2 linked regions of the Schizosaccharomyces pombe genome follow. The gene in region 2 interacts genetically with the main gene of each other region. Each region holds a gene or a part of one and is shown on either strand. Other genes may lie near its edges.

Region 1 (3,493 bases), on a different chromosome or scaffold from region 2:
TCCGAGGGTGTTTACGCTGGTGCCCATGCTGGCAAGTACATCAAGGCTGCTAAGTTTTAAACTCTGAGCATACATTAAATTTTACTAATGTTTACAATACATGTTTATTTTTATAGAATGCAATGAAATTTTTATCCTTTTTGCGTTTTGGATTAATTTGCCAGGTTGCGTGTTTATTTATTATTAGTATTAAAGTAAACTGTTGTTGTAGTAGAAGTAGCTGATATAATTGTTTTGTGCTAATTTGCATCCTTTTTTTTTTTAGATGATCATTTTAGTTTTCGTTTATATAGTGTTTTTTTTTCAATCATCTTAATTTTTTTTGGAATGTGTGCATCTGCTGTAAAACACAGAAATTTGTCTTTGACCTAGTACATATTTTTATGTGTAGCCAAAATTTTTGGATACCTTTGCTCTTTATCAGTCACTTTACTACTACTAACACTGGAAAATGTTCTATTCCTCAGCATCTTACCTACTAGTATTTATAATATTCATCAACGTAGAATGAAAATAACAATATTATTAACATAATTCATCTACATTACAATAGTAAAATATTGAACCAGAAAAGCCAAAAAAAAAAAAGCATATAGAAAAGGAAATCATTTGTACAGAAAAGTCATGAACGAAAAACATGTCATAAATTAAGGACCGTATAGGCTTTATGCATTTAAGTAAAAAAAAAAAAAAAAAGAACAGCATTAAAGTGGTGAAACAAATTAAACAACAAGGGAAATCAAAGCCATCGGAAGAATCATACTTACAATCGTAGAAGCGGAAGCCAGTACGCACAAAACCTGAAAATTCGGAATCTTTTTATAACAATCCTGTATCCAAAGATGAAAAATCAATTCGTGAAGATGATAACGAATGAATAGAACGAGATAAAGGGCGCCGACGGCTATTGCCAGATGCAGTTACTCGGGGTCGTGTGAGTTTATGAGATAAGGGTCGAGGGATGGATTTACCAGATGCCAGCTTGGTGCGATAAACGGTACTGAGTCGTGTTCTGGAAGAGGATTGTTTGCTGACAGAAGGCTTTTCGAGAACCTTTCTTTGTTGATCAGAAGCTTTCAAGGTAGCGGGTGTTGTCAGGTTAGTATCCTTTTCTGTTAACGGGGAGTCACCGTCTACGCTGAGCAGAGGAAATTGTATAGGATCATCATCACTGAACTCCTTGTAAACATGGAAATCTGATGCAGGTGTATTACGAATAGTTACTGAGGTAGCCTTATTCTGCATGCTAGGCCAAGGATCGAGCGTTTCACAATCAATTGCAACGTCGTCAAACCCCAGGGATTGAATGGGGTCCAAATGAACAGGAGGAGGCATATATTCGATATCTTCTTCAAGTTCATTTGGTAAAGGAGTGTCTGTTAAAGAGGAACGACGAGGGCTAGCCGAAAGTCGCTTCGACCGCTCTTGTACGGCTGATCGGGAAATTCCTTGTGAGTTTGGCTCCAAAATAGTAGGGGAATCCATCGAAATATCCATAGGAGACATTTTCTTTGTACTGGGAGCAGAAATAAATTTGGAAATGTTAGTACTCTTACCTCCCAGTACCGTTCTAGGAACCGTTACAGAAGAAGGTGCATTCGACTGCTTTGTAGACCCCAATGGTGCTCTTTTGGAGCCCGCTCCTTTTGTACCATTTCTGTTTGATATGGGAGTTACAGGAAAAGCGTTTTCTTTTCCATATGAAAACATGGTTCTTGGCAACATCGTTGTCTATAGTCCAAGGCTGGTTTATTATTTCACAGGTGACATTCAATTGTGACCTGCACAATTTAAAATAGTAAACAAAGCGATAATTTGAAGAAATATGATCACCTTTTAAATTTTTACTTTTACAAATGCATAATAAATTGTTTTGTTTTGTTTTTGAATTGCTTAATTGGATTGAAGATGATTTATGATATTCAGGTTGCTTTTATCGTCTAGTGTTCAAGATGGAAAACCAGTTCTTCATGAAACAAATAATTTTACATTCCAACTATACTATGTTGTAATCATTCTGAATCATTATCAGAAAAGTTGGAAGTGTATTACAACTGATCATTTCGTATAAACTTGATGTTGAATGAATCTAAGCTTTTAAAGCTAGATCTGTCTGCCAAAATTGATCAGTTATGACTTTAAGTATCCCATTTCGTTATTGAAGCTGAAAATTTACAACCTGTGATAAATAATATAGGAGCTTCAACAACTGTTTTCATAAAAAATCATGAAACACATTAATCATCAGAAAAATTCGAGGTTTACTACAACTTAAATGCGCCTTTTGAATTCTGTATAAACCAGCTACTTCCTTATTTTCAAATAAATTTCATCAAAGAAACTTAGGGGCACAACAAACGTCGCATGTTATTAGAAAGAATTACATACAAACATTCTATCAAACTGATAAAAAAAAAAAAAAAGATACAAAATTAAGAGATCTTTAAATTTTTCTAGATTTGAAAAATCTCTACAAATGAATAAACGAAACTTCAAAATGCTAATTAATACTATTGCTTTTATCTCCAAAACCCGCTACATACTCAAATTATCCAGTTCTATATAACGCATTGTAATATATCTATGCTGCTTATTGAATACTTTTTTTCATAACTTCATACGATCTCTTACCACCCACATGGTATCGATTCCCAACAATATTGTAAGCAACAGCTACGACTGTTTCAACCAATACGAAAGGAAATTGATCGGTACTCTTATTCTTTAATATATTAGGATCATGCGTAATTTATGCTTCCCTCTATATCAATATTTTAATAGTTGCATTTCAGATAAAATGAGCGAATTCGTAAAAATTCTAATCGTAAACTCCTCTTAGTAAAGTAAAAAAGTCCAAATATAAGAGAATATGCTAACTTTTGTTAACAAAAGACTACTTCTCGATATTTAGGATTAAGGTATCTTTCCACCTTTGTGGCACTTGAACCTTCCATCCACCACTCACTAGGCTGCTATATCGGTTTGCAATAAAAGGCAGCAAAGTGGATTAATTTTCGCGTAATAGCGTTGAGATTTATTTATTCAATAGGAAAGAAAATGTTTCTATCAAGAAAAATCACAAAAAATGCCCGCACAATAGTTCAATGCCAGCGGTTTTTCCAAACGTCTATATTCTCTCAAAATGCAGCACCTCAATCGCCAATCAAGGTGTTCATGGATACATTTAGAGCAGAATTAAAGAAGAGCCAGGAATTACAGGACAGTGTCAAAGCATTGCAAGATAGTTCAGGATCATTAAGTGAAAGCGACACTTTCAAAAAAGCGAGAGATGCTTACGAAAAAGCGCGCTCGGGAACTACTGCAGCTTCATCTTTCACAGGAAAAACTGTTGGCAAAGCTGGTGCCAAGATTGGCTCATATGCCCAAAAAGCTTGGGAAAGTGCTCCTGTACAATTATCAAAAAAGGTCATTTCAAGCACCGCTAATACTGTAGCTACTGGTGTTGACACTGCCACAAAACCCGTACGTGAAA
Region 2 (5,350 bases):
AATTTGCCAAAAATAGCAAGAGTTATTCAAGAGGTATTTAAGCCGTATAGTATGGCACAATCCCCGTTTTTTGCCATCAATCTTCGCATCACAAATGGTATGTTCACTTTAAAAACTATGTTTGAGAGAATCTATATACGTTCACTCATTACTAACCAATTATTTTAGGAACTATTGACATCAATGTATCTCCAGACAAAAAATCTGTATTTTTGTCTGAAGAGGATTCCATAATTGAATTTATTAAAAACTCCTTGCAAAACCTATGTGAAAGCTGCGGACATGCAATTTCTTGTTCCAGATCGCAATCCATTTTTTCATATTCCTCGCAAATTCCTGATTCCTCTGGAGACAGTACAGATCAGGAATTGCCTCAGTCAATTCCAGCAACAGAATCCGAAACAAGTGATGACTCAAGTTTTTCTTATAAACGCTCACCATGTAAAAGAAAGCTCGTAGAAGCTACTGCTCAACCAGCAATATCCACTAGTGTTGCAGAAGGAGCGTCATTAGCACAAGTATCCAAACCTTTGCCAGAGCGTTTGCAAAAGGATTCTATGAGACGAAGTAGCCCATTAAACGAAAAAGTTACGGCCTCTTCCGAAAGAATGAAGAAAAAGCTTGCCCTATTCGCTTCTAGTACTGATACTTCTATGCAGAAAACAATAGACTCTAGTTTCCCACTAAAGCAACCCATCAATAAACCTAGCTCGAATCCTAACAATTTGTTACTAAATGATCCAAGTCCAGCATCAACACCTGTTGCTAAAACAATTAATTTAAACGAGATTGAGTCGGTACACAACGCAGAATCAGTTTCCACACTCTCGAGCATTCCTCGTACTGAGCAAACCAGTGTTGCGAACAGAATTCCGTCAAAAACTGCAGCGCTACAAAAGCTCAAATTTTTTCAATCTAGGCCCTTGGATGGTTTAAACAAGTTTAGTAAAAAAATAAATATATCTTTGAGTGGAGTGCAAAAAGATATTGTTCGAAGCGATGCCTTACTGAAATTTTCGAACAAGATTGGCGTGGTGCATGATATTTCAGATGAAAATCAGGAAGATCATTTGAATCTAACTGTACATAAAGCCGATTTTTTAAGAATGAGGGTTGTTGGTCAATTCAATAGAGGATTCATAGTGGTTGTTCATGGAAACAATTTGTTTATAATTGATCAACATGCCAGCGATGAAAAGTTCAACTATGAACATCTCAAAAGTAATTTAGTTATCAACAGCCAAGACTTAGTCCTTCCAAAAAGACTGGATTTAGCTGCTACAGAGGAAACTGTTTTAATTGACCATATAGATTTAATTCGAAGAAAAGGATTCGGCGTTGCTATAGATTTAAATCAGCGAGTTGGTAATCGCTGCACTCTTCTTTCAGTTCCCACGAGTAAGAATGTCATTTTTGACACTAGTGGTAAGTTTATTAACGAAGATCTTGACCTTTAACTTCTGTAGATTTACTAGAGATCATCAGTGTGTTGTCTGAGCACCCACAGATAGACCCATTTAGTAGTAGGCTTGAGCGAATGCTTGCTTCAAAGGCTTGTAGAAGCAGTGTCATGATTGGTAGGGCTCTAACTATATCCGAAATGAATACAATAGTTAGGCATCTTGCTGAGTTGAGCAAGCCTTGGAATTGCCCTCATGGAAGGCCAACTATGAGGCATCTCCTTCGATTAAAAGATATATAATGCGTAAAAGAAAGACTTTTTTAACGATTCTAGAATTTCAGCTATTGAATTAATGAATAATATTGGTTTATTTACAATGTATTTAAAACATAGCAATCAGCAATTATTAAAAGTGAATCTCTTATTGCCAAACTCAATTGAAATTTTTATCATTAAAGAATTATTTTAAGCGAACTTGAACCATGAGGAAATGATTTTTCTTTAGATGTAAATAAACATCGTACTAACGAGGTATGCACAGTTGGATAATCGCTTTCTTAATGTTTTGTATCCCTACAACTTTCATCAACTTCAGTTTTGCAATATCAGTCTTACTTCCTAATAAACCATCTATGCTAGCAAATTTAAAAAGGTTGTATGATAATTGTTGAAACTATCCATTCACTAGATATTTTATATACCTGAACAGGCTTTTATTGACTTGCTGTACTACAATAAACAAACTTCTACGAATCACCAAAATCATCCAGTCTTATCCAAATGGTGTCAAAATCTTTCAAATACCCTAAAAAGCATAAATTTGAATGGATTAATGAAACTAATAGAGTTGAAAGGGTTGGAAGTGGCCTTAAACGAGTAATCTTATGCCCTTCTATGGAACTCATTGCGATATTAACGTGTTCAAATCATTTGATTTGCTGTAGAAGTAACAGTCAAAGAATTTGGGATGTCGATTTTCATGATCTCGAGGCTACTGAATTGTGTTGGAATCACGATGGTACGTGGCTCGACTGGAAAACTTTTTTTGTATCATTAACATAAATAGGGAATTTAATAGTTGTTGGATTTAAAAATGGAGAGCTTAAAATTATTGATTCCTCCACAGGACATCTGGTTGAGCAAAGGCCAGCTTCCAGAGATTTAGCGGTTCTAATGATAACATGGGCCATGCAAGAAACGATAGTAAATGAAAAACGCAATGATTTTTTATTTGATGCCACTGCATATATGCCTTTACTTGGTACACTTCCTAGTTCGGCAAAAGAGTAAGTAGTAACACAAAGCGACTTGTCTCTTACATTTTTTAGGGAACGTATATTTTCTTCAAAAGCAATCGCACAATTTTTTGAGCCGAGGAAACGAGAGGGTGAAAATAACAAAAAAGTTGAGCTCTTAAGTATTTTGGATGAACGTGGAATTAGATACATAAAGTGCGTATCAAAAACCCCTTATTTATTAGCATCTTTCTAAAAGAAGTTTTTTTATCGATCGATACAAATTAGAAGTACTAACTATTCATAGTATGTTTTCGTCTTACAAAATCGGAGAAAGCGATTCTTTGAAATCAGCCTTGAACTTGGTATTATACCCATGTTATTAAATGTCTTGCTCACACAAATTATAGGGGGTTCCCATTTCACACAGCATAACCAACGACTTAGCATATCATGTTCTTATTTGTAAAGGAGGAACGAATATTTCTTTGAAAACACTTTATATGCCATTACTTAAAAATGATTTGGGAAGTATTGTGGATATTGCAACAATGTCTACACGTATGCAACATTTGGTAAGATATCTTGAGGAGGTATTGAATGCTATGTATGAAGAATTTGACAATGTCTTCAAATCAGAAGCTAGCTTTATTAAAACCTTTGATGCTTTAGTGTCCAAGTACAGTGACACAACTTTCTTTTCTTTACAACTAGAGTTATATCAATTTATAATGAACGGTATACCCAGCGACTTACTCAAAGAATGGATCAACGAAAGAGTCGGTGATCGAGTACTAAAAAATTGGGAACGGGCGATGGTGAATTCGTACACGTCCTTAATCATTTTCTGTCAGGAATTCGTAATACCTGCTTGTGAAAGGTTAACTGTATTATTATCTTCTGCCAGAGGAAAGTCAATATGGGGCCATATGAAGGGAAACACATTACTAGATGCTAAATTGGTGGAAGATTGTCTAGCAACTTTGGGTTATTTACAGAATAATGTTTTTTCGTTTCTCAATTGCCTTTTTGAGGAAAAAAAGTATATGAAGCACTTTATTTCATGGTTGAATTACGCTATCGTCGAGTTTAATACTTCTGAACCATCTTCTATTCCACCGCAAGAGATTATTGAACATATTAATGAAACCGTAATTTATATTCGTCATTCTTTATTCCGCTCGAAACTAACAAGTTACTTTATGGGCACAAAACCCCTTCAGCTAAGAGATCCTGATTATTATTCTCTCAAGGATTTTGCAAATCAAGACGACAGTAATTCTGTTGATGATTTCGTATCATTCAAAACCTTGAAAGAATCTTTAAGAGACTCATTCAACGTCATTTTTAGCTACCCTTCTTTAACTTGTCAAAAGCAATGGTTAAAAACCGGAGACCTTGTTTTGTTTGAAGGGACTGATTGGAATGTATCATCTCTTATACCAAAATCCTGTAATGAAAAAAACCAATTATTTTCATTATTCTTTCGAAAGGATACTCCGAATATATTCTTAATAATTTCCCAACTTATGGAAAATACTATGTTGCCTGTATCTGGATGCCACTTTGGCTTGGATTATGCAGAATTACTAGGAAGCAGTCTGTTGGATTTCCAGCCCGCAACTGTTTTAGACATGAAGCTTTTAAACGGAAGTAGTATTTTAATACTTGGAAAACTAAAGGAGAAGTGCTTCTTATGTGAAATTTGCTTAGCAGACGTTCCCTTAACCTTTTTTGAGCACCAGCAAAAAAACAGTTACCTTGATGCTATCAGTCATCTTCCTTTCATTCCACTAAACAGTTGCCTATGGCTGCATGAATTTGAGAAGGATTTCCTTCCTTCAACACTCGAATATGCCCTTTCTGAGAATAGCGATTACGGAGTCCTTATTTCAAGGGAATCTTCGAGATATCGTTTATTCTCTTTTTAATGAGCTTATGTTTAATGGTCGTAATGTTTTTTTTTTCTTGTTTTTGAAGAGCAAGTTACATTTTTTGTAGCGGTCTTTTAAATTTTCTTTTCTTTTTTTTAATTCTTTAATATAATTTAAAAGCAGAAAATTTATACAATATTTTCAATTGCAATAACTTCATTTAGAAAAGTCAACATATAACGAAGTTTTTTACCTTCTGCTATAAGTTTCCTTGATACACTGACTTCTTCTCTCAGCGAGGATCGTGTTTCAGCTAAAGTATAGAGATGGACACCTTCCCTTCTCTGTTTCTATATTCCTTAACAATACAGAATAGTAATTATGTTCAAAGTTCGTGTGCCGCGTCCTTGTCTGGTAAAAAGGCACAGGAGATAGTAATTGCTACAGAATCAAGGTTGCTTATATATAAAGTTGATGCAACTGATGGGAGAATGAATTGTATTTTAAATCAAAATTGTTTTGGTATTATTCGAAATGTTGCTCCTTTGAGATTAACTGGTTTTAAACGCGATTATCTCGTAGTCACGTCGGATTCAGGACGAATAACCATTTTGGAATATAACGTTGAAAAAAATAAATTAGTGCCAATATACCAGGAAACTTTTGGAAAATCAGGAATTCGAAGAGTTGTTCCTGGTGAATACTTAGCCATAGATGCGAAGGGGAGGGCCGCTATGATTGCATCTGTGGAGAAAAATAAGCTGGTTTACGTACTAAATCGAGATTCAGAGGCTAACCTAACAATATCTTCACCACTTGAAGCTCATAAAGCTAATAAT

Evidence for each region. Genes that interact genetically often act in the same process or in processes that back each other up.
Region 1: of cut20 (region 2) and cut2, extra expression of one is lethal in a mutant of the other (dosage lethality), as found in Schizosaccharomyces pombe (2 studies listed by BioGRID, with this or other methods).

Annotation. Positions count from the first base shown.
Region 1 is NC_003423.3:2,202,497-2,205,989, forward strand, and holds cut2 (securin cut2), read right to left. Parts: upstream 1,721-3,493; 5' UTR 1,711-1,720; coding exon 820-1,710; 3' UTR 504-819; downstream 1-503. Other genes in the region: eno101 (enolase), read left to right, coding at 1-60; TIM23 translocase complex subunit Tim44, read left to right, coding at 3,058-3,493. UniProt on the Schizosaccharomyces pombe protein: Regulatory protein, which plays a central role in chromosome stability. Probably acts by blocking the action of key proteins.
Region 2 is NC_003424.3:4,041,252-4,046,601, reverse strand, and holds cut20 (anaphase-promoting complex platform subcomplex scaffold WD repeat subunit Apc4/Cut20), read left to right. Parts: upstream 1-1,977; 5' UTR 1,978-2,182; coding exon 2,183-2,420; exon of another isoform or gene 2,421-2,468; coding exon 2,469-2,688; exon of another isoform or gene 2,689-2,730; coding exon 2,731-2,853; exon of another isoform or gene 2,854-2,873; intron 2,874-2,944; coding exon 2,945-3,002; intron 3,003-3,028; exon of another isoform or gene 3,029-3,047; coding exon 3,048-4,568; 3' UTR 4,569-4,793; downstream 4,794-5,350. Other genes in the region: MutL family mismatch-repair protein Pms1, read left to right, coding at 1-97, 169-1,425, 1,467-1,702; prp12 (U2 snRNP-associated protein), read left to right, coding at 4,838-5,350.